3 linked regions of the Rhinolophus ferrumequinum genome follow. The protein of the gene in region 1 interacts with the protein of each later gene in a pairwise test. Links are inferred from orthologs where the notes say so. Each region holds a gene or a part of one and is shown in the gene's direction. Other genes may lie near its edges.

Region 1 (7,561 bases):
GTCTCACTTCTAGAGTTACAGTTGGTTCCAGGTCAGGCGTCCATGTGGCTGGCTTAGAAACATGTAAACGTGGGTGCACTGGGGAGCAGGTCTGCACAAAGAAGCAGGGAGGAGAGCAATTGACTTTTCAGAAGTTGCCTCTCATCTTCCTAGAGCAGTGGCTCCATGATGCCTGTGGACTCCCCCAGAGTCCCCTGTATCCTCACCAATATTCTTTTCACTTAAATTAAAGTCTACTGGTTTTGTTGAGTTGCAATGAAAAGAGTCCTGATTAATACGGCATTGCGCTGGAATGAGAGCTGTCAGAAAACTAAAGAAAGACTTGTGTAGTAGCCATGCCAGAGATCTGCAATGAGTAGGTCTGTAAGTGGGCGTTCCATTGGAGAAGCAGAACCACTGTGAGTTGTGCATAAGGCACATATTATAGAAGTTAGGCCTTTCACAATTGTGGGAGATGCTGCGGAAGCAAAAGTCTAAAGAGGGTGGTTGAAGAATCTGAGAAAGATCTTTAACCAGAATGACATGGGTGGCTGAGCTGGAGCTGCAGGAAACCTGGAAGCTACGCGTCTCCAGCTGAGAGAGTAGGGCTGTGAAAGGCGCTGGTGTAGAGGTTGTGGAAGGAAGGTTGCTGCCCTGCGGGCGTGCAGTCCAGCATCTGGTGGAGAGCCTGGGTTGTCAGGTGGCGGTCTCAACTTCCAGTTAAATGGAATCATTGTGTGCCTGTTGGTGGAAGCATCCCTCCCTTTGGAACCAATACCTCTAGGCCAGCAGGACATAAAGTTGTGGGAACAGGAAGCAAAACTTTTGCGAGTGGATCATGAGGGCTAAGAGTGAGTGGTCCACTCCCATCTCCATCTCTTGGTTCCTGGACCCCTGAATCCTGGCTATGGGAGAAACAGCACCTTATATTGGACAGTGATTCAGAGCATGTACAGGGAGCCTCCTGCAAGGTATTGCGCCTAGCTGGCACTGTGACTGAGTCCTCAAAAGGCCATTCCATTGTTCTATCAAACCACTTGCTCAGGAAATTAGGGAACATGGTAAGACCAGTGAATTTTGTGAGCATAGGTCCATCACTACACTTCCTTCACTGTGAAGTGAGTTTCTTGATCAGAAACAATGCTGTGTGGATAAGGCATTCCGTAAGTCCATGGATGGTAGTTTTGGCCAAAGCGTTGTGTGTAGAGAGAGAAAATCTGTACTCAGTCATTAGTGTCAGTTCCAGTAAGAACAGAACGCTGCCCTTCCATGATGGAAGTGTTCTCATGGAATCAACCTGCCACCACGCAGCAAACTGGCTGGTCACCCTGGGCAATGGTGCCATGCTGCTGGTCTCAGCTGCTGACAGATTGGACACGCAGCAGTGGCCATAGTCAGGTTGGCCTTGTGAGTGGAATGTGTGTAGCTGAGCCCATGCATCACTCCTGTCCCTGCCACCATGGCCACTTGTTCTTGAGCCCATTGGGCAGTGTCAGGACTGGCTGGGGAAAGAGACTGGTACCCACAGGACAGGTCATCCTTCTGCTTAAAACCCTCCTCTGCTGAGTCACCCCTTGGTGAACATTCACAAGGGACACAAATATCCTCAGGTTGTTTTGCCCAGTCAGAGAGGTCTATCCACACGCCTCTTCCTCAAATCTCCTTGTCACCAGTTTTCCGATCATGTTCCTTTCAAACTCCTGACCATCCAGCCACATTAGCCATAGTCCATGAACTGTCACACACTTGTACCTCTGGCTATTTTTTCTTTCAAGCAAACCAAACAACAAGGTTCACTGCTCCAAGATCTACCCACTGGGAGGGTTCTCCTTTACTACGGTCTTTCAGGGATGTCCCAGAAAGGGGCTGCAGTGCTGTGGCCGTCCACTCTTGGGTGGCGCCTGATTATTGTGCGGGACCATTTGTAAACTGCGCCTGCCTTTTCTCTTCCTCAATCGACTAGTCATAGGGACCTCCCCGTGAGGCCACAGGTGCAGGCTGGGCAAAAGAAGGTGATGTAGCAGGAGTGGAGACCGTGGGCATGTGGGCCACGTCCTTCTGCAACTTACTTGTGACTTCAGGGTCTGCTTGAGCCTGATCTCGTATCTACCGCTTCTATTTGATGATAGAGGGCCACTGCGCATGCCTAAGTTTACCACTTTGGGTCAGGCAGCACCCAGTTCATACTGGGCAGCCCAGGTAGCATGGTAACGTGGTGGTACATGGTTAAAAGTTCATGGCTAACAGTCTCTAAATGAGAGTAGTTATCCACAGAGGCTTTGCTCCAAAATCCTAAGGGCCTGTGATATGATTCACACATACGGGCCTGACAAATCCTCCCTTAGCGTCTCTAGTACCCCTGACACTTCAAGCACCACTGGATCTGCTGGGTCCTCTGCCCCAAAAGGCAGAGCAGCTGGCATGGCAGCCAGACCTGCTGCAGAGCCTTCTCTTATTCTGGGCCCCACTCAACACCAGCAGCTTTTCAGGTCGCTTGGTGAATGGACTTGAGTAGCTCACCCAGGTGAGGAATATGTTGCTACCAAAACCCACGGGGCACCATTAGCCGTTGTTCTTCCTTTTTTTGGTTGTAGGCAGGGCACATACAACAACTTATACTTCACCTTAGAAGGGCTGCCCCACACCACTCAACCACTAGAAAATCCACTGGCATGGAGGCCCCTAAATTCTTGTCAGACTTATTTTCCACCCTCTGACATACAAATGTCTCACCAATCAGCCTAGAGTAGTTATTACTTCGTGCTGACTCCGTCCAATCAGAATAATGTCATTAATGTGACAGACCAGTGTGAAGTCTTGTGGAAGGGAAGGCGATAAGGTCTTGCTTGACTAAATGATGACCTAGGGCTGGAGAGTTGTGGCACCCCGGAGGTAGGATGGTAAAAGTGTATTGCTGGTCTTGCCAGCTGAAAGAAAGCTGCTTTTCTGGTGGCCTAATAGGTAGGGAAAGAAACATTTGCTAGATCAATAGCTGCACACCAGGTATGAGGGGAGGTGTTCATTTGCTCACACAGTGAAACCACATCTGGAGTAGCACTTGCAATCTGGTTAAGTTGATGACAACCCACTGTCATTCTCCAGGAATCATGTGTGTCCTGCACAGGCCACACAGACAAGTTGAGCGGGGATGTAGTGGGGATCACCACCCTGCGTCCTCCACGTCCTTGACGGTGGCACCAGTCTCTTCAGTCCCTCTTGGAATGTAGGATTTCTTTTGGTTGAGTCTTTTCCTAGGTGAAGGCAGTTGTAACGGCTTCACTTTGTCTTTCTCACCACAATAGCCCCTACTCCACAGGTCAGGGGACCAATTTGGGGATTCTGCCAGTTGCTCAGTACTATCCAATTATGCACTCTGGAATGGGGAAGTAACCACAGGATGGGTGCAGGGACCCCCTGTGAGACGAACCTGAGCTCAAACTCCTGTGAACACCTGACCTCCATAAGGCCCGACTGACTGGTGGGCCACAGGGATGTTTTGGGTCTCCTGGAATTAGTGTCAGTTCAGAGCCAATGTCTGGTAATTCTTGAAAAGTCTGAGTAATTCCTTTTTCTCCAATGCACAGCCACCCTGGTAAAAGGCCACAACCCTTTGGGGAAGGCTAGAGAAGAGATTAACAGTGTAAATTTTTGGCAGTGTCTTTCCTCAAGGAGGCCAACATTTCCATTAATTAATTTTTGGTCTGTAAACTGACTCTAGTCTGGGAACTGATTGAAGGGCCGAATCTCTCTGTGTGGGAATTCAAGTCAGGCTTTCATTCACTTGACCTAGAACTTTTCTGCTTACACAGACTAAGTACGAGCTAGTAGATTTCCCAGCTGTTTGACTTCTAGGAGCAGCATAGACTGGCTTGCCAACTTGGCCGGTCTGCAGGAGTCACCAATCTGATGGCTGCTTTGACTCTGCCATCCATTACAGACACCATGTCCCCCTTGCCTTTGGTGATTCATTGCCACCATTTGGCCCCTGCCATCCTGGAACCAATTATCCCCACTGCATTTAAGGATTCCAGTTCAGAGGCCACAGTTTCCACTGTAATTTCTGACCTACAGAGAAGAGTGACCAAGGGTGCTGGGCCACAAGTTATTTCTCAGAGTCCTGGTGAAGGGTGTGTGGTCCGCACCCTCCTGGAGTGGGTAAGCAGTCTTACTTACATGATAACCCCTCTAACATTCCAACTCCCCAGGCCTCTGACACTTCCTCTACAGCATACCACGGCAGTGCTGGCATTGCCACTTCATGTGGTAGGTCACCTCTTGCTCCAGGTTTCAGTCAACTACCCATCTTGTAAAAACCAGTCCCTCTCGTCCCCTCCTCTCTTCCGTCCACCCTTTGGTCACTTCCCTAATCTCGCATCTGGGAGGCGCCCTGTACACCCACCCGGAAGGCCTCCCGTCGCTCCTTCCCTGGACACCGGTTCCCCCACCGCACTTCCCCTCTGGTCGTCGTCCAGAAATGAGCCGGAGTGAACAGCAAACTTGCAGCGTCCGGAGACAGGCTGTGGGCCCACCGGCCCCGCCCCAGGCGCGCGCGTGTGTGCGCGCGTGCGTGCGTGTGTGCGCGCCCGTGTGAAAGGAAAGGAGGCTGGAAACGGAGCCGCAGGGCCAGCGGGGGAGGGGGACGCCGCCGGCCCGCGCGCCCGCCCCCTCCCCACTTCCCGTCCCTCCCGGCGCTCGCGCCCCGGCGCTGGCCTCGGGCGCACAGAGCCGCCCGCCGCCGCGGAGCTGGAGGATCCGGCGGGACACATGCGGGCCGGGGGACCCCAGGGCGCCCCGGCGGGTGGCGGCGGGGGCCACCGCGCAGGTAGGTCGCTGTCAGCGCGGCTGGGCGGGGCCGGGGTCCGGGATCCGGGCGGGGAGGGCGCGCGCCGCCCCCTGGAAACCGTGTAGGTCTGAGCTGTGCCTCTGTTAGCACCTTGGCTTCGGTGCACCCCTTTCGAGGAGAGGGAAACTGAGGCAGGGCACGTGGCGCGCGGAGTTGGGAGAGAAGGGGGGTCTGGGACGACCAGCCCACGCCGAACTGAGCCAGGTGGGTGCTGAGACCCTGGCGAGAGGCACGTCCGACACGCCCCCGTGGCGGGTACTGGTGGGCAAGGAAGGCGGCAGGGGCGTGCGGGAATTTGGATCAGACCCGGGACCCCGCGCCGCCCGAGCCTCCCGGGGCCGTGCGCCCTCACCGTCCACCCGAGGGGCAGGGCCCGTCCGGCTCGCCCTCGGCCCCAGACCCACTTCTGACTCGGCGACGGTAACCCGCACCGGGCGCAGGAGACAGGGCCGGGTCACGCTGTCAACTTTGCGTTGACACTGAGGCCAGTAAGGGGATGGTTGCTTTTCAAGAATGACGGGACGTCTCCTACCATCTCACCGTTAACACGTATGCAAAGGAACCTGAGACTTGCGGCAGACAATGAGATTTGGCGTCCCGAGCGCTCCTCTGCTGTCCTTGCTAGGTAACTTCAGACACATCCCTTAGCCGCTCCCTTATCCCTTATCCTCGGTTTCCTGAGACGTGTGAGAACACGGGTGACCCTGTCCCATAGGTCTGGTGTGTATGGAAGCACTTTGCAGAATGTATGGCCATTTGGAAAATGGGATTTGGATAATACTAGAGCCCTAAGATGATTGGGGTTTGGGGACAGTCAGCCTGCATCTCAATCCTGGATGTAGTCGTGCCTCAGTTTCCCCATTTGTAAAATGGGGACAATGACAGTTCCTACCACATAGAGTTGTTGTGTGTTTTAAATGTGTCTGGATGTGACACATTAGTCAAGTGCCTGAGAGAAAGGGTAAGTTCTAAGTAACCTTAGTTACTATTTTTACTAAGCCAAATCTAAATAATTTGGGATGATACGGAAATACCAGTTTGATTTGATGAAAGTATGATTAGCAGAGTGTTTTAAAAGAAATTTCATTTTATTCCATTCAGGCATAGCACAGGAAGTCCTTTGAGGTTCAGTTGAGAAATCTGTCACTGAGTGAAAAGATGCCTGGATTGGCTTTCTGAGCTCTGTGACCTTGAGCCTCAGTTTCCTCATCTGTTTACAAAGAAGATAAAAGAAAAATGGGGAGAGTAATTACGGCTTTTGGTACTGATAGAGCTGCCTAGGATCCGGTGAGGTTAGAGGTGTGAAAGCACCCTGAAGTGAGTCACTGCTTCCAGGAGGGAATGTTAACATTGGCAAGTTTGCAGAGTTTACAAGGTGCTAGGGAATTCCTTGGATGACACCCTCCCCAAACCTTTGTGAGATAGGGATTTATAATCCTCATTCCCCATCCCCCAAAGCTGAGATTCAGGATTACTGCTTCCCGGCACCCCCTCCCCGCCCCCCAGGTCACCTAACGATTAAGGATAGAGTCAGGAGTTCTGGCAGGTGTGGCATCAAGTGCATTTCCCAAGTGCAGCTGCTGACAACTATATGCCACGTACCTTGTTTCATGGTGCTTCACTTTATTGCGCTTCACAGGGTGGCCGATTTTTACTAACTGAAAGCAAGACCTTCAGAGTCTGGCCTGCTTATTTTACAGGTGTGAAAAGTGAGGGATACAGCAGGAGACCGCGTATTAGAGTCTGAGTCCTCTTACTTGGAGCTGCTTCCATCAAGCCACGCTTTATTCCATAGTCCTGCGTAATTCATCCTGCTTAAGAAACATGAGGTGAATGGAACCAAATCCTTTCGATTTATTTTCTTGAGCCATCATGGCTCTTAAAAACTTAAAATTTCAAGCAGTTCCTTTTGTCTGTCCATTCGTTCATTGACTGTTCATTTGTTCAGCATTTATAGAGTACCTCCTTGGCTCTAATTAGAATTAGAGCCACACACTGGTACTGTATCAATTTTTGAGTTAACTTAGAGGGAAACTTGCTAAAAAAAAAGTTGTTGAACAGGCCGCCTAGAAAGGCAGTGAGCTTTTTGCCATTGGAAACATTTGAGTTAGTGTTGGGTGACACTGTGGGGAATTTAGTGGGGGGTCTGCCCGTGGGGAGGGGCTGCATGGGCCGACATGTGGGAACCCTTCCAGCTGCGGTATTCTGTGACGTGTGTCCTGGAGATTGGGATTGTCCCGGATTTGAGCTACTGTGTACATTTCCTCCCACTGCTCTTTGGGGTTTCCCATTTTGCCTCCTCCCCTAACCCAGGTGGTTCCATTTCTAGAGGTCCAGACAGCTCCCTGCAGTCAGCTGCCTGAATGCGGTAGGTGCTTTAACTCCCCTGGGTTCTACATATCTAGGGTTGATATTAATCACGAACATGATCAAGTTCATTCAGGAGAACAAATTGACCAGGAATAGAAATGTTCATTTTGACAGGTGGCCCTGCATGGAGGCTAATTACTTTCACAGGTTGAAAGGTGACATATCAAGTTTTGTGAGTGAATTGTGTTCGGAATGTGGGATCTGAGTTTAAATTTAGTTTTGAGACATGCACAGCAACCTAACTTTTCTTTTTCATACCTGTTGTCTCTGAATTTGTGAGTGGATTGATAATATGATTTGGCATAATTATTAGGTGTTATTTTTGACACTGGAGAGTATGTGTCTTGCATTTGTAAATTAAAGGATGCC
Region 2 (7,489 bases), on another chromosome or scaffold:
GAAAATTACAACTCCTCACCTAGTTTCCAAACCTGTGCCAGATCTTACACCGTAGCCCATCAACTACAGGGAAGATTGGGTCCTGAGGATGGTATATTCCTTCCTTAAGTATATTCAGTATCAATTTCTTCAATCTGACCCTAAAAGGTTATCAGAGCAACTGAACCTGGGGGGGAAAGGGGGACATCCAGATCTTTTGAGTGCTGTTAGATACAGGATCTGAGCTGACATTGATACCAGGGGAGTGCAAACACATTCATGGCTCCCCTGATAGAATGGAGGTGTTCAAAAGCCAGTAGATAAATGAAATCCTGGCCCAGGTTTGTTTCACATTGATTGCAACGGGTCCACACTTATTTTACGGTCATTTCCCTGGCCCATGAGTGCATGACCACGGCAACTGATATTCTTAGCGACTGACAGAAATCCCACATTAGTTTCCAGATCTATGGACTAAGAGCCATTAGGTAGGAGAGGCCAAGCGGAAGTCCCTAAAACTGCCTTGAACCCAGCCAAGATAGTAAATTAGAATTAGTACCACATTTTGGGCAGACTGGCAGGGATGAGTATTACTCTCAAAGGCATAAAAAATGAGGAATAGTGGTGCCCATTACGTTCCCTTTTTAATTCATCAGTGAGGTCCTTGCAAAAACCAGATGGATCCTGTCAGATGATAGTGGACTAACATCACTTAGGCAAGATGTAACTCAGTTGCCATATTGGATGTGGAATCCTTACTAGAAGAGACCAACACAGCCTTTGACACTTATGCAGCCACTCTATGGCAAATGCATTCTTTTTAATTTTCATCTGGAAGGAGGGGAGCATTCCTGCAGTGCAGGCAGCAATTCACATTCAAGGTCTTACGTTGGGGCCACGTCAATCCTGTCCTACTATAGTCTGAAAAGTCCTTAAATATCTCATCGTTGAGCAGAACATGATGTTGGGCCACTACACTAGTAATATCATGTTCTTCAGACCTGGAGGTGTCAAGTACTTTGGATACCCTAGAGGTGTCCAGAATATGCCACGGTAGCATAAAAGTTATTTTGAGGGGAAAGTATTTGAGTTCTGAAATCTTTTATCTGCCTAAAATCAGAGCCTCCCAAAAGAGCTCAATTGTCATAAATGCCCTCCCTAGGAACACCCAGGGAAATCTGACTCTTGTAATGATGTGAGATGTTGCCACATTCACTATATACAACCAAACAGACAATGTCACAAAAACTAGCATATCTTTCCTAACAGTCACTTGTTTTCCCTTAAGTGCTTTCTCTGCCCCCTTTTTAAATAATAAATCATTAGTTTTTCCGTAAGTGTCCTTCTTTCCTTCCCCTTCATCTATGAAAATGGTATATAAGCTACAAATTCTAAACACCTCTTTGAGTCAAATTTCTTTGTGAACTGTGCATGATTGAAATCTGTTGTTTTTTTTTCTTGCTAATCTGTCAGTTTGAGTTTAATTTGAAGGCCCCTCAATCACTTAAGAGGATAGAGGGAAGTTTTTTTCCCTTCCCAACAGCAGCAGACATTCATGCCAAAGATACTCAGTAAATATCTGTTGAATGAATAATGAGGGGGTGCCAGAAACATTGGTCAGTTGTCCTTTGGTGTCTTGACCTTTCAAGTTAGCTGTTTGTTGTCTTTTTCCCAGGGGCTTACTGCTTTGGTTATAAACTATGAACATTAGCTAACATTATTTCTTGTGCAAGTTGTTTTACATGAATCATCTCAATTTCTCTGCACAGAAGTTTTAGTAAGTATCATTATAATCCCCACTTTATAGATGGTATCATTATAATCCCCACTTTATAGATGAGGAAACGGAAGTGCCACGAGGTTAATCTTACCCAGGTCGTATAACCAGCAAGTGATAGAGCTGGGATGTGACATGGGACTCCCAAAGTTGAGCCCTTAGCCTGCTCATGCCACCATATTGAGGCAGTCCTTGCGTCTGCTGTTGGAAGGGCAGAGAATGGTCCCATTTTAGTTACAGAGAAACGGTGTGTCCCCAAGTCATGGAATTTGTAGATGGAGTCAATAAGACCCCAGAGTTTCCAGTTCAATGCTGAATAATAAGTACCCTTGTTCCTCAGAACATGATAGTGAGAAAAATGAAGTCATACACAGGACAGCACTTTGAAGGGGATAAAGAACTACACAAATATAAGGAATTATGATTATTGTGTGTCTATGCTTTGGGTATTAAAGACATCCTGTTCTTAAAGAGACTTTATGATCAGTGCCTCTTCCCATCCCCTCCAGTGCATCTGAGGATCAGGTGGACTCAGAGGTGGGGTTGAGGAGAAAAGTGAAAACTGAAGGAAGTGATGCTGTTGTCAACTGGATGTTTTGATGTAAAACGCCCGCAGTATTCATTTGCTTGACAATGAGCACCAGGCACTGGAGTAGTGGTTGTCTGTTTCATGGTGTCAATTACTTTTGGGAATGTCCTTTTGCCCCCAGATAGGGCATGGGTGTGATGAACTGTTCCTCCCTGCTAAAGGAGATCCATATGTTCATTAAATGCTTCCTAGAAGAGAATGATACTACCATAGGGATTGGAGGTGAATAGGATGGGGCCATGGAGAGTCTTTAAATACCAATAGCTGGCATAAATGAGTCAGGTACTGGGGTAAGTATTTTGCATTCTGCAGTTTTTCCTTCATAGAAGTTGAGTACTTTCTAGGAACAAGTTACTAAAGAAACAGCAGGAACAAGATAAAGTCCCTTCTCTTGAATTTTTATTGTAGTAGAGACAGACAATAAATATAAATAAGTGTGTTAAATTCTCAAAATCACCTTTTTATATTTTTGGTTTTTACTGATCTTTTTTTCTGTCTGTATAAATCATATAAACTAATTGTATAAGATTCATTTAATATGGAAAAGTCTAAGGAAGTAAAAATCTCATCACTGTGAAGACCATCATAAATGTTTTAGTGACCATCCTTTCATCTATATATCTATGCAATTTAATAGGATTATTTTATAAATCCTAGTTTAAATTATAAACATTAAGTGATTTTGTCATCCTCATTTTATAGACTAGGAAACGGAGGCTTAAAACTTTACTGTAGGGGCGGCCGGTTGGCTCAGCTGGTTAGAGCGTAGTGCTCATAAACACCAAGGTCACCGGTTTGATTCCCATAGGCCAGTGAGCTGCACCCTCCACAACTAGACTGAAAACAGTGATTTGATTTGGAGCTGATGAGTCCTGGAAAAACACACTGTTCCCAACATTCCTCAATAAAAAAAAAAGGTGAGCTCCCTGAAGCTCACCAAGGTGACCTGCCATGCCTTTCTCAGAAGCTGTAATTTGGCTCTCATTATAACAGAATCAAGTAAAATAAATTGCTTTTAAAAAGAAAAAAAAAAAACTTTGCTGTATTAATATGCCTAAAATCCCTGTTAGAAATTGACAATGTAGAGATGTTAATCCTGGAGAAATCTTTAAAGAGGTTGTTATTCGTTTATTTAAGTCAAGGGCTGGATAGGATTTGATCAGGTGTTGATAAGGGACTCTACCAGCAGCAAGGGGTGTGGACAGGGATGAAGTTAGTAGACTCCTATTAAAAATAGTACAATTTAGAAACAATTAGGGTCGCAACTGCCCTCAGCAGCAGGAAGGGCGCGGAGGACCAACCCACTTGAATGGCTGAGTGGCAGGTCATTTTACAGAGGCCCAGAGATGCAATTTCTAACCAGATGTTCTTCCCCTAACTAAGACTGATACAGATCAGAGTCACTTAGGGTTGCCACTAGCACGAACTTTTCAGGATGTTTCAAAATACATGTATTAATCTTGTACAAATCTCTTGTTGCAATTGTCCAAGTCTGCCTACATTTATAGCACATGGCAGAGAACAGTTCACACGGTATTGTCACACTATTAAAACACATTTTTGAGCGTCAAGGCCCTGCGGGGCTGTCCTCTGAGTGGGCTGTCCGGAGACAGTGAGGGCTGTTCTAAGTTTATAAAAGTTGAGAGAGAGAGAGAGAGAGAGAGAGAGAGAGAGAGAGAAGGAACAGCAGGGATACCGCACACTTAATTACCGATGTCACCAGCAGTCTGCGGGTTCGCGGACCAGAGCCGCCTGCGCAGAGGCCGCATTTTTAAACAGCCCGAGAACACGTGGCCGCCGGCCCGCGCTGTTACTGGCTCTCGGATTCTCACAATCGGCTTTGGCGCCGAACCTTTCCCCGCTGGTGGACGCAACCGTTGCCTCCGCGATCGAAAGGAATACGGCCCAACTTCGCGATCAAGGCTTTTCTGAATGAAGTTTCGACCTAGTCTCAGGAAAGGTCCAACTACAAATTGAAGCATCAAATGAAATCCACCTACAGAAGCCGTAGAAGGCTCCTTTTGCCAAAAGCAAAGAGCAGACTGGGCCCCGACTCCCCCTACGCTTTGTGAGGAAAGCGCGGGTGGTTCCGTCCGAGGCGCGGACCCCGCCTTCACGGGCGCCGCCATTTTGTTTGGCTGGAGGGGAGCGAGCGGTGCTTCGGGGGAGGGGTCTCGTAGGCTCCTCACCTGACCCCGCGGTCGCGCTGTTGCTTCTCGGTGGGGAAACCTTCTCCCCGGCTAGAGGCGCGGAAACATGTACATAAAGCAGGTAAGGCCTGTGCGTTCCTCCCACCCCGGCACGGAGTCGTGAGTACCGCTCCTGGAGGCGGGGGTGTCGCGACGCGCCCCGCGCCCTCTCACCTCTCGAGGCTGAGTGGGCCCGGGCTAGACGGGGGCTGTGGGGGAAGGGAGAGGCCCCGCCCCGGGAGCGCGGGGAACGCGAAGAATTGGGGCGCCCCTTTGCAGTCCAGGCCTGTGTGCAGGGTGCTGGTCGGAGGGAGGCAGGACCTCCGAGAGGTGTGGAAGGGCCGGCGGGGCGGCTTTTGTGGAGGAACGAGGCTTTCCTGGGGGGGCCCGGGTCGGGGGAGGCCGGGGTCCGGGCGAGGGCTCGGAGCTGGCTGAGGGCCGCGTCGGAGTCGCCGGAGGCCGGGAAGCTGCGTGTTTTTGCGAGGAGAGCCCCGCGCTGGCCATTCGCGGGGGGTGTGGAGAGATGTTTTCCCGCCCCGGGGGGCTCCTCTGGGGGCACAGGCTGGGGTGCCTGCTGAACCGGGGGCCTTTCTCCGTCCCGACTTAGCGGAGAAATGAAAGGGACGCTTCTAGCGAGATGTGGAGCGCCTCCTCTTTCAGTTGTTTACTTCTGTCAAAATGGTCTTCCCGCGCTGGGGTCCAGCACAAAGATGAACCCATTCACATCTTTTGGGGAAGTTTCTCTGTTGTATATTTTGGGCTCTAATCACTGTTTTCTTGTAATGTCGACTCATTTTCGCTGGCTCGTGTGTCTCTTGGAGTCGGGAAAGCTGGGGCCAGTCTGCCTCCTTCATGCGTTTACTCTCCTGTAAAGTTCAGTGTGGCAGAGAACTTTATACAGTGATTTTTGTATTTGATTTTGGGACTGACTCCCTTAACAGGTTACCAATTAAAACTCCTTAAAAAAAAAAAGCACTGGCAAGGGTTACTGATAGATTTTTAATTACCACATTCCAAAATGAATTTTTCTCATATGAAATTGAAAGTTTTCTTTCTTGCGTTTAAATGAGAAATCAGAAAGGGAAGAAGTGCAAAAGAAAAATGTTTTGAAGTTATTTCTTTGTGTGTGTTCTGAAAAATCTAATTTATTTATTTATTAGGTAATTATCCAAGGTTTTCGAAGTTACAGAGATCAAACAATTGTAGATCCCTTCAGTTCAAAACATAATGTTATCGGTAAGTATTCATGGTTTATTAGATCAGATTTAGATCTATAAAGTCATTTAAATTCTGCTTATATCTAGGCTTAAGGAGACAAGAATTATCTTCCAATATTACTTAACTTTATATACCGGGGATGCCAAAAAAATATATACAGGTGGACACTTTGTTCAACGTGCCTCAAATGGTAGTTTGCCTTAATCAGAAAAGAAGTGTCTGGACGCTGATGGTAACCACTTTGAGCACCTCTTGTAATTGCAGAAGTCAAACGTGACTTGTGTTCATCTTTTTTTATTGGTATATATTGAGTATTAACAATTTTAACATTTTCCTTTCTTAAAATGTGTATACTTTTTTTGGCACTCTAGTTTTCTGTATGAAATAACTTCATTTTTAATCCGCACTGATGAATTGCTTAGTTTATATATTTAAAATACGCGGAGAGTAGTAAGTTACTCATTTTTATTTTAGTTGCCTCCTATGTGTGTAAGTGTGTTTTAAAAGCTTTAAGTTTATAGTGAATGACACTAAATGTAGTGTTTGAGCTATTCTGTTCTTGATGTGTTATTTCCTACTTAAAATGCTCACTATTGCCTTATTTCAAAGATGATCAGTTATTCACAAATTACATTGTTTTAAGATTTTCTTTTTCCTGTCATAATGTCTAAGGTGAGAAAAGCACTATGGAGCAGTACAAATGCGATTCAAATCCCAGTTCTGGCATGTATTTTTCAAACTTATTCGCTGAGGGGCTTCAGGTTTTTTTATTTGTAAAGTGGAGATAATGATACCCATCTTCTAGGGCTATTGGAAAGATTAAATGAGAAAGCAAATGTGTGAGGATAAAGCACTAATTAATAGTGATTGCCCTACAGTACAATATTTAGTCTGTAGTTTCTTCAGATGATAATGTTCTGTTTTGCTGATACAGCCAGCAAATGTTTTCCGATGTTCTGCTGAATTTTTAAAGGATAGATGAAACGAATGTTTCTAGATGCCAGAAAAGCATGTATAGCAATTGCATAATTTTATAAATGAACTTTAAAATGAAGACCATCATTACCTCGGATGATTTAAGTTACGTCTATAAGGCCTATCAAGTATTTTTGTTTTAGCTACAGTATTATGCGACAGCTGTTTTACTACTGTACTTGGGTTGCAACATTCGGATTTTTAATAGTCATGGTTACAAAGGAAATTAAATGTTCTTTTGTTTTAATTGAAAAACAAAACATGATACGATTTTATTGGTTTAACATTTTAAAAACAGGTACTTACGTAAAATAACGTAAGAAAGACCAAATGTAGTGTGGACTGAAATTGATCCTAAAAATATCCTGTGAAAGCATACCACTTTGATTGTTTAATGATTTTGACCCTTAAGAAAACAAGATTTGAAGGCAAATATCTCTTTGCTTATGTTTGAATGCTTGAAAAATGTTTGAATATACCAAACGTATACCTTTTTAAGGTTACCTTTTTTCTAGCCTTTTAACAAAAGAAATATATATATTAATTGTAGAATATTATGGAAGAGCATAAAACCTAAAAGGAAAAAAATTAAAACTGTAATCCTTCTTCTTAGAAATAACCATTCTTAATTTTAACAATCTATACTTGTATTAGCCCCGGTTTCCTAGAAGAGTCCAAGGCCTGCTTAGCTACTAAGGCTTTAAGGAGACAAGCTTTAATGGGACGATGCAGTCTTAGGGCCAAGATTGAGTGGGAAAGCTG
Region 3 (7,948 bases), on another chromosome or scaffold:
ACTTCCTCTCATTCTCCCACTCCTGGGTTTTCGTGTGTTTGGGGGAAAACAAGTTATTCTTTTCACAAAAATGGCTGAAGAGCATTTTAGACACGGTGGCGACCCCTCTGTTCACCTACAGACCGGAAAGTGACACCCCTTGAGCATGGCAGGATTTTCTGTGAGTGTTTATTAAACAAATTCAAATTTCTCTCCACATCTACAGAAATAGAGACATCCCCAAATGCTCACCACTGCAAAGGGTGAACGAAATAAGGGGAGGGTCTCTGGGCTGGAGACCTGCTAACTCTATAGTTCAGGGAGGAGAGGCTTGGATTGTAAATGTGTGACATTAGTGAGGAGGTAGGGTTACAAAAGGAGAGGTTGATTTTAATCCCATGAAAGAAACCAGAGCATGACAAATAAGGACCCAGTATAGAGGAATATGTAAACCCAGGCTCATCCTGCCAGATACCTTTTTTCTCCTCCTTTCCAAATTTCACCCCGCTGTTTTAAATGGACACCAGGACAGCACAGAGGCTGTGATTTTCACCTAGGAAGATCTACAACATAAGGAAGTGGTGGGCAGGGAATAAACACATATAGTGTATTTACTCCCAGTGTCCGGGTTTAAACAAACTGCAAGGAGGTAGTAAAAATAAATCGACAGAGAGTGTGGCTTCCAAGCAATGCAGTCCTCAAAGAAAGACTTTTTTTCTTGAGTGTGGTTTTCTAGGATCCATCAGCTCCAAGTGAAGGGGTTGTTTCAATCTAGTTGTGGAGGACGCAGCTCACCGTGGCTCATGTGGGGATTGAACTGGCAACCTTATTGTTAACGGCACCGCGCTCTAACCAACTGAGCTAACTGGCCACCCCAGTCCTCAAGATTTTTAAGATGTCAGCCATCTCCCCTCACTGCCCACACTGCACAAAGTGATCAGGCCCCTGCCGAGAAAGTGTGGCTTTGATACAGGTGTGCCCCTGCACTGCTGGGACCCACCCAAAGCCTGGCAGGCAGAGATGGCACTCAGAAACCACATCACAGACAAAGCACTTAAAAAGCTAACCGTTTCCTCCAAAGGAGCAACATTATAATTGGGTGATGAGTTCTTCATAGGAATTGACAAAATACAGATCCTAGGAAATAAACAAAGACATGATACATGAGTGGCACCTTATCTAACCATCTCTTCAATCATTTAAAATTGTTAAAGTCTTTTAAAATGGGCAATAATGTACTGTGCCTGTAATACTCCACCAGTGTCCAACAAGGGTCTTGGGTGGGGGTACACATCTTTTGAATGAAGGAGGAAGTGGAATATTGAAATACAAATAAAAAAGGATAACAAATTTAGAACACACAGGTCCTCTCAATCAGTCATTCTCAAATTTTTTGGTTCAAATACTCCTTTATATTTTTAAAAAATGATTGGAGATGTCTGAGAGCTGTTGTTTATGTGGTTATAACTACTGGTGTTACTGTATGGAATTTTTAAGACAACATTTTTTATTAATTCATCTAAAAATAATAAATCTGTTTGGTGTTAACATAAATGTATTTTTTATGAAAAATAACAAGTTTCTAAATTGAGAAATAGTTTTCAAAACAAAACAAAGAGTGAGAAGAGCACTGTTTTACATTTTTGCAAAACTCTTTAACGTGTGGCTTTGTAGAAGACAACTAGATTCTCATATCGTCTGCATTCAATCGGTTTTGATATCACGTGTCTGCTCCTGGAAAACTCCCATGCATACATACTTGTGAGAGAATGAGAGTGAAAAAGGCAAATATTCTGTTAGTATTAGCACGAAAGTAGTTTTGATCTCAAGGGCATCCTGAAAGGTCTTGGAGACCTCCAGGGGTGTCCAGCCCACACCGTTAGAACCACTGTTCCAGATTGATAGGCTAGCTAAAATAAATATCAAGCATTTGCTTGGCTTACGAAACATTTACATGGCTTGCCTTCTTGGTATGTGAAGCAGCAGAATTTATAAAATTGGCCCATTTCCTCCTCCCTGATGAACATGCTCTTGTATAATTTGGGGAATTTGTGAATATAATGGGAGAGTCACTGTGGGGACAGAGCCAGGAGTGCAGTTTCCAGGCTCTCGGCCTCATGTGGAAAGGTGCTGGCTCAGATAGTAAATGGCCATCAACTGTGATTGGATGGCCATCAGCTGTGGCTAGTTGGCCATCAGCTGTAACCAGTGAGCCATTGGCCACTAATATAACTGCTGTGGCTACGCTAATATAAATGGGGGCTAGCAAGACGATGGTGGCTGGCAAGCGCGGATTGCAGTTAGGACGGCAGGCTGCGGCCAGTGTGGCTCCTGCTTCCTGTGTCTCCAACCCAGCCGCCAGCAAGACTATAGTGGTATGACTCCCCTACCTATGGCTCCGTGGGTGTTCCTTTTTGGCCTCACCATGTCCTGCGTTCTTATGTGGGGAGCGGGACCAGAGACCCCGCATGCCACCCTGCACGACAGTCACTTCCATGATAATAGGTTATGTATATGGATGGCACAGTTGACTTTAAGAATGGGAGACTATTCTGGGTGGACCTAATCTAATCAAGTGAACTCTTAAAAGGGATGGGCTCTTCTTGAATAATAGATTGAAATGTGAGATTTCATGTAATTGAACACCAGCAAAATTCTCCGTTGCTGGCTTTGAAGGTGGAGGGGGTCATGTGGCAAGAAATGCAGGCAGCCTCCAGCATCTTAGACTGGCCCTTGGCTGGTCGTCAGCAAGGAAACAGGGACCTTGGTCCTACAACCACAAGGAACTGAATTCAGCCAATAACCTGAATGAGCATAAAAGGATTTCTCCTCAGAGCCTCCAGAAAGGAATGCAGCCTGGACACCCTGACATCCTCATTGAGCCTGAATACCCTGAGCAGAGAACCTAGTCATGCCGTACCTGAACTTCAGAACTACGGAACTGTGAGGTGATGAATGAGTATTGTTTTAAGCTGCTAAATTGGTGGTAATTTGTTATACAGCAACAGAAAACTAATTCAGTATGTATTATTTTAAATTTATTTTTAAATTACACAAATAATCATAAATACATCCTCCTTGTAAAGAATAAAAACATCATTGAGAGATTAAAGTTCCCTTTGCCTTCCCGATCCCCATCATAGCCAATGTTGAGCCCCTCTCTATCCCCTTTTCCCAGGGGTATAAATATCCCCTTTGCTGGGTATGAATCCTTCCACCAGACCTTTTTCTATGCATTTATATGCATATATATGTACCAACAGAAAATATACAGTACTGCTGTGGTTTATGTGTTTTTCTTATTTTAACTTTAGAACACTATTGGGATTAATGCTATAACTGGCCCAGGTCTCCTAAAAATAAAACAACAGAAGTCTAAATCGATGTTCTAGCACAGTTTCCCTATATACTGTGGAGGCATTTGAACCACTCTTGCTCTTAGATCTTAGCATAAATAAAAATATATTTTAGAGGTTGTTGTTGAAGATGGGGGTCCACCAGCTGACAAGCATTTAGAGTCAGGGCTGACTTCGTTTCTGGTTTTTGACCTCTCTCGCTCAGGTTATTCACAGCTAGGTTAGGAAGAACCTGCTCAATTATGGGCTCAAATCCAAGCCACCAGGGAAACATTGGTGGCTCATGTGTCCCAAAGTTCCCCTTAATGGCCATCTTGTCCCTGCCTTTATCCACCACTGGAAAATCAGGGAACTTCGGAAGATTTTTTTGAAGAATTGCTGAGTCTCTCTTGATTTAAAGAACAACGAATAGGTGTGATCTTTTCAGAAACAAATCTATGGCACACACCTATATTACTTACCTTTAGGAGACAGGATGAAATCTCCTTTGACAGTGGACCACAGCGCCAGTGTGGATAGGGTGGTACCTTGCCCAAGGAATAACACCCCAATTTAGCTTCTGATGAAACTGTCAGAAGCAAGTTTTCCAAGGTGGCTTTAATGATAGGCTCTCAGAAAGAAGCTCTTTCTTCAAGCAAGTTTGTCCTCCATACTCAGAGCAGATGGGCCACAGCCTCTATATAGAAAGTGTACACATTCTGCATTTTGTAATGATGGAGACATTAGCAGTGGCCAGTGGCAATGTCCTTTCTGCTTTGCTAAGGTCACCTCACCTTGTGCTCCCCTGACATCACAGTAGCCCTGACATTTTATAACAGCACAGACATGCTGTTCTTTGGCCTTTTGTGATGTTGAGTTTGCCAGGAAAGCTCTGGCTGCCCACTTGTTCTGGGTGGGCAGGAAACCTCACCAGTTCAGAAATCCTTGGAGGGAACGTGCCCATTCACAGGACTTACACTTACCACCTCCTTGAAAAGGCTGTGCCCACCCACCCACACCTCTGATCCATGGATTTTCCATACCTCCTAGCTATTCAGGTAGGACCATCCCACAACTGCCCAAGTGTTTGGTATGGAACTCTGCTCAGTGGGATTCCTTTGGAAAAGTGATCCATGCATGGAGCTGCAGCTGGTTCTCCTCTGTACTTTTGTGTCTATGTGAGCATACGTTTCTGTTCCCTTTTCCGAGGAAATCTTCAAGGGAATACAATTCCCAAGGTTCACCCAAGGGGAGAAACGTGCTTTGGGCAGTTACAGACAGGGGTTTGAGTGAGTCTTGAAATTGGTTCACGGCCACTGAGTACAGGCTTCTAAAGGTGACTTCAGAGAATGGAAATACCCCAAACTTTCCTTCCATATAGTCAATTTGCCTTAGATGAGGAAGGAGGGAGAACAGTGCCCCAAAAGTAGGCGGCCAACATTGGGTACTTTGTGATATATTCGGTCTGTTAAGTTAAAATGGGGGTGAGGGCCCTCCTATTTCGCCACGCTAGAGGTTTTTAGAGAGTTGGGTTTTTGTGACGAGACCTGGGTTTTGGGGACCGGCGGAGGAGTGAGAGTCAGAGCAGCAAGGAGGGTGGCCCCGGCGGGACGAGGGCGGAGCGGGCGCCGCTGCGCTGACGGCCGCGGCAGAAAGGGGGCGGCCGCTCCCATTTCCTCCTCTCCGCCTCGGCCGGAGCGGCTCCCTGGTGTCGGCTGCGGCTCCCAGACCGTGCCGAGCTGAGACCGGCGGGCTCCGGCCGAGCCTGCGGCGGCCGCCCACCCTCCCAAACGTCCCGAAGCCCGCTGCGCTGTTCGCGATCCGGCTGCGGGTATGGACGCGGCGCTGAAGCGGAGCCGCTCGGAGGAGCCGGCTGAGCTCCTGCAGTCGGCCCGGGACTTGGAGGAAGAGGAGGAAGAGGGGATGGAGCAGGAGCTGGAGGAGGAAGAAGAGGTGGATCCCCGGATTCAGGTAGGACGCGCGGAGGGCGCCCCGGATCCCCGCTTGGCGAGGGCCGCCGCGGAGATCGGCATCCAGTGCCTGCGCTCCGGGGTGGGGGTGCTGGCGACGTAGGTCCGGGGGCAAGAAGAGAGAGGCTGAATACTGTTTCACTGGGTTCATCGGGAGGCTGCAGTGCCCTCATGGATGCGGCCTGAATATGTTACCGGGATCCCCCCGCAGACCGCGGCAGAATCAGGGGATCGCTGCAGCGTGCCCAGCGGTTGGGCGGATGTGCAACAAAGGGAAAAAGGGGGCGGGGGCGCCACGCGGGTATCCCGGGTATCCCGGCCAGGCTCGCCACACCGCTGGCATTGCACGGCCTCCTGGCCCTGGAAGGAGGGGTCGGCTGCCGGGTGGGCGTTGTCCGCCCCTGCAGCGTGGGCTGGCACTGGTGCCCTGGGTTCTGAGTCCTCACCTGGTGGAGGTGCCCGGCTTGAGCCATCTTTCCTCTCCTTTGATTGTAACCAAACTGAAGGGTTTTTTTTTTTCTCCTTTTTTCTTTTTGTCACTACTGATTCAACCCTCCACTTGGCCTCAAATGATTTAAAACCTAGCTTTTCCTTTTTTGAGGTCGGGTGTGAACAGAAATCAGGAACAACTGATGCGCAAAGCTGACACGGGGAGAAGGCGAGGGGATTGGCCTGGACCTCTGCACCTCCATTTGTAAGGGAGATGATTAAAAAACAATTTCCAAGCCAAGATCTAGGGTTGACCGCTTAACCTTTTCACCCTCTAAGCAAAAAGCAGAAGTCCAAGACTCGTTTTTCCTACCTTCCCATAAATCATGCACACACACACACACACACACACACGTGTGTCTCTCTCTCTCTGTGTGTGTACACAATATATATTGCTTTTAAGTATGCTTTCAATTCCTGGAACCCGCCCTAATTGGTTTTTCAGTGCACAGATCAATTAAAAGCTCATTTAATTCAGCTGTTGCAGTTTAAATGAATTGTTTTGGCAGATTGGCAAGGTAAAGATCAGGTGGAAAAAAATCTTTGTATCAGAAATTTTATTAATTAAATTAATCAGTTTGGACTAGTATCTTGTTTTGTTGGTACAGGAATTCTGTTAACAAGATCCTTTGTTTGCAGAGTAAAATGAGTTGACTTCATGATGGGTGCTTTTTATAAAATTTTAGTTTGTAAATGTTTATTTAAAGGTAGTTTTTTTTAAAGCTAATGTTTTTGTTTGTTTTTTTAAAAACACCTAGGGAGATTGAATAATTGGCAGTTTGAAAAGATTTTCATCTCTCTACAAAAATACTCAACCACCAATGAGTTAATGCCAGTGTTCTGCCCTCGATTTAAATCATTTCACTAGGTTTATACTTTTGGCTTGGCTTTGTTTCTTTTCTTTTCTGCAAAGTTCTTGCTGTAAGGCAGAAGGTACTATTTTGATATCAGCCCTTAAATGATTTGTAACAGGTGGGTTTACCTGAAGGCACAAACCTGGAATAAATATTTAACCTCCTAAGAAAATCCCTATGACCGTATGACATTTTCAAAAGGGACACCATCAAGCAAAGGTTTCAGAAATGCTGACATTCATTTCTCTTCTAGCCAAGGCTCAACTATTTTTCTTGAGAATACTGACACTTCCTTCTTCCCAAATTGTGCTGGAGTAGTTTTGCAGGTCATGGGCTGAGTCACTTGGAAACAAAAGACAAATCCCTTAAATCTTTTTTCTGCCTCTTTTCTTTGTTAGGGAGAACTGGAGAAGTTAAATCAATCCACGGATGACATCAACAGACGGGAGACTGAACTTGAGGTACTGAAGGCCAGGTTCCTGTTCTTGGTGAACTGGTGTCTGTCCTGCTAACACCAGAATGGTTAATTTTGTTTTAATAGTTGGAGGGTGATTGCTGGTGTCCCCTCCTCCAGTTGAGCAACAGCCTGCTGTCTGACAGAATAAACTATACGGCTGAGCCCAGCTTGTGGGTGGAACACATGTGGATCCAATTTCACATGTTGTTTTTTTATTATGGAAGCTCTGTGGGGCCAAAACCAAGGGCTTTACACATGCCTAAGCCCTGAAGTTAATGTGTCTGTGGAAAAGCTAAAAGAACTAAGGTGAAAATGAGCTGAACTCTTTAATGGAGAAGAATACATGAGGTCACAAAATCTCTTTAATATTTTAGGGCAGTTCCTCATATTGTACTTGGAAACATTGTGTGTTTGCTCAGACTTAAAACCTTTTTTTTTTTTTTGACTCTCCTGCTCTAATAATTCACCCCCTTCTACTTCCCTGCTCATTTCTTTATTGTCTGCTTGTGTGTAGAATATAATTATTTTAATGGTAAGCAAAAGCTGTTTAGACGGAAGGGCTTTCCTGCTGGGAAGAATCTTGGGAGACAAAAGTTGATTTGAATTTCAGGGGCATCTTCCAATCTGTGTAAACAGATTAGTATTCTTCACAGCTACCAATTAGTCCCCATTCCTTTTCAGTAGTGGTTGGTTTTACCATCAATCAGCAAATTTGAATATCCTCCGCATATATCTGAGAGCCTGTGAATGACTGTCAGAGAGCTGAAGGAATGCAGGGAGCTGTTGGGAGGACCTGTTTCTGTAGCAGGAGAAATAGCAGGGAAGGTCAGTGGAAAAGGCAGGAAACATCTGGTCCCAAAGAGT

The links. The genes of interacting proteins can lie anywhere in the genome.
Region 2: the proteins of DISC1 (region 1) and SMC3 interact in a two-hybrid assay, tested with the Homo sapiens proteins (2 studies listed by BioGRID and IntAct). The link is inferred for Rhinolophus ferrumequinum from reciprocal best matches to the Homo sapiens genes DISC1 and SMC3.
Region 3: the proteins of DISC1 (region 1) and SH3BP5 interact in a two-hybrid assay, tested with the Homo sapiens proteins (2 studies listed by BioGRID and IntAct). The link is inferred for Rhinolophus ferrumequinum from reciprocal best matches to the Homo sapiens genes DISC1 and SH3BP5.

What each region holds. Positions count from the first base shown.
Region 1 is NC_046310.1:25,365,185-25,372,745, reverse strand, and holds the start of DISC1 (disrupted in schizophrenia 1 protein), read left to right. Parts: upstream 1-4,546; 5' UTR 4,547-4,743; coding exon 4,744-4,801; intron 4,802-7,561. UniProt on the Homo sapiens protein: Involved in the regulation of multiple aspects of embryonic and adult neurogenesis. Required for neural progenitor proliferation in the ventrical/subventrical zone during embryonic brain development and in the adult dentate gyrus of the hippocampus.
Region 2 is NC_046299.1:16,764,214-16,771,702, reverse strand, and holds the start of SMC3 (structural maintenance of chromosomes protein 3), read left to right. Parts: upstream 1-4,451; 5' UTR 4,452-4,601; coding exon 4,602-4,616; intron 4,617-5,694; coding exon 5,695-5,770; intron 5,771-7,489. UniProt on the Homo sapiens protein: Central component of cohesin, a complex required for chromosome cohesion during the cell cycle. The cohesin complex may form a large proteinaceous ring within which sister chromatids can be trapped.
Region 3 is NC_046300.1:31,250,895-31,258,842, forward strand, and holds the start of SH3BP5 (SH3 domain-binding protein 5), read left to right. Parts: upstream 1-4,910; 5' UTR 4,911-5,147; coding exon 5,148-5,285; intron 5,286-7,025; coding exon 7,026-7,088; intron 7,089-7,948. UniProt on the Homo sapiens protein: Functions as a guanine nucleotide exchange factor (GEF) with specificity for RAB11A and RAB25. Inhibits the auto- and transphosphorylation activity of BTK. Plays a negative regulatory role in BTK-related cytoplasmic signaling in B-cells.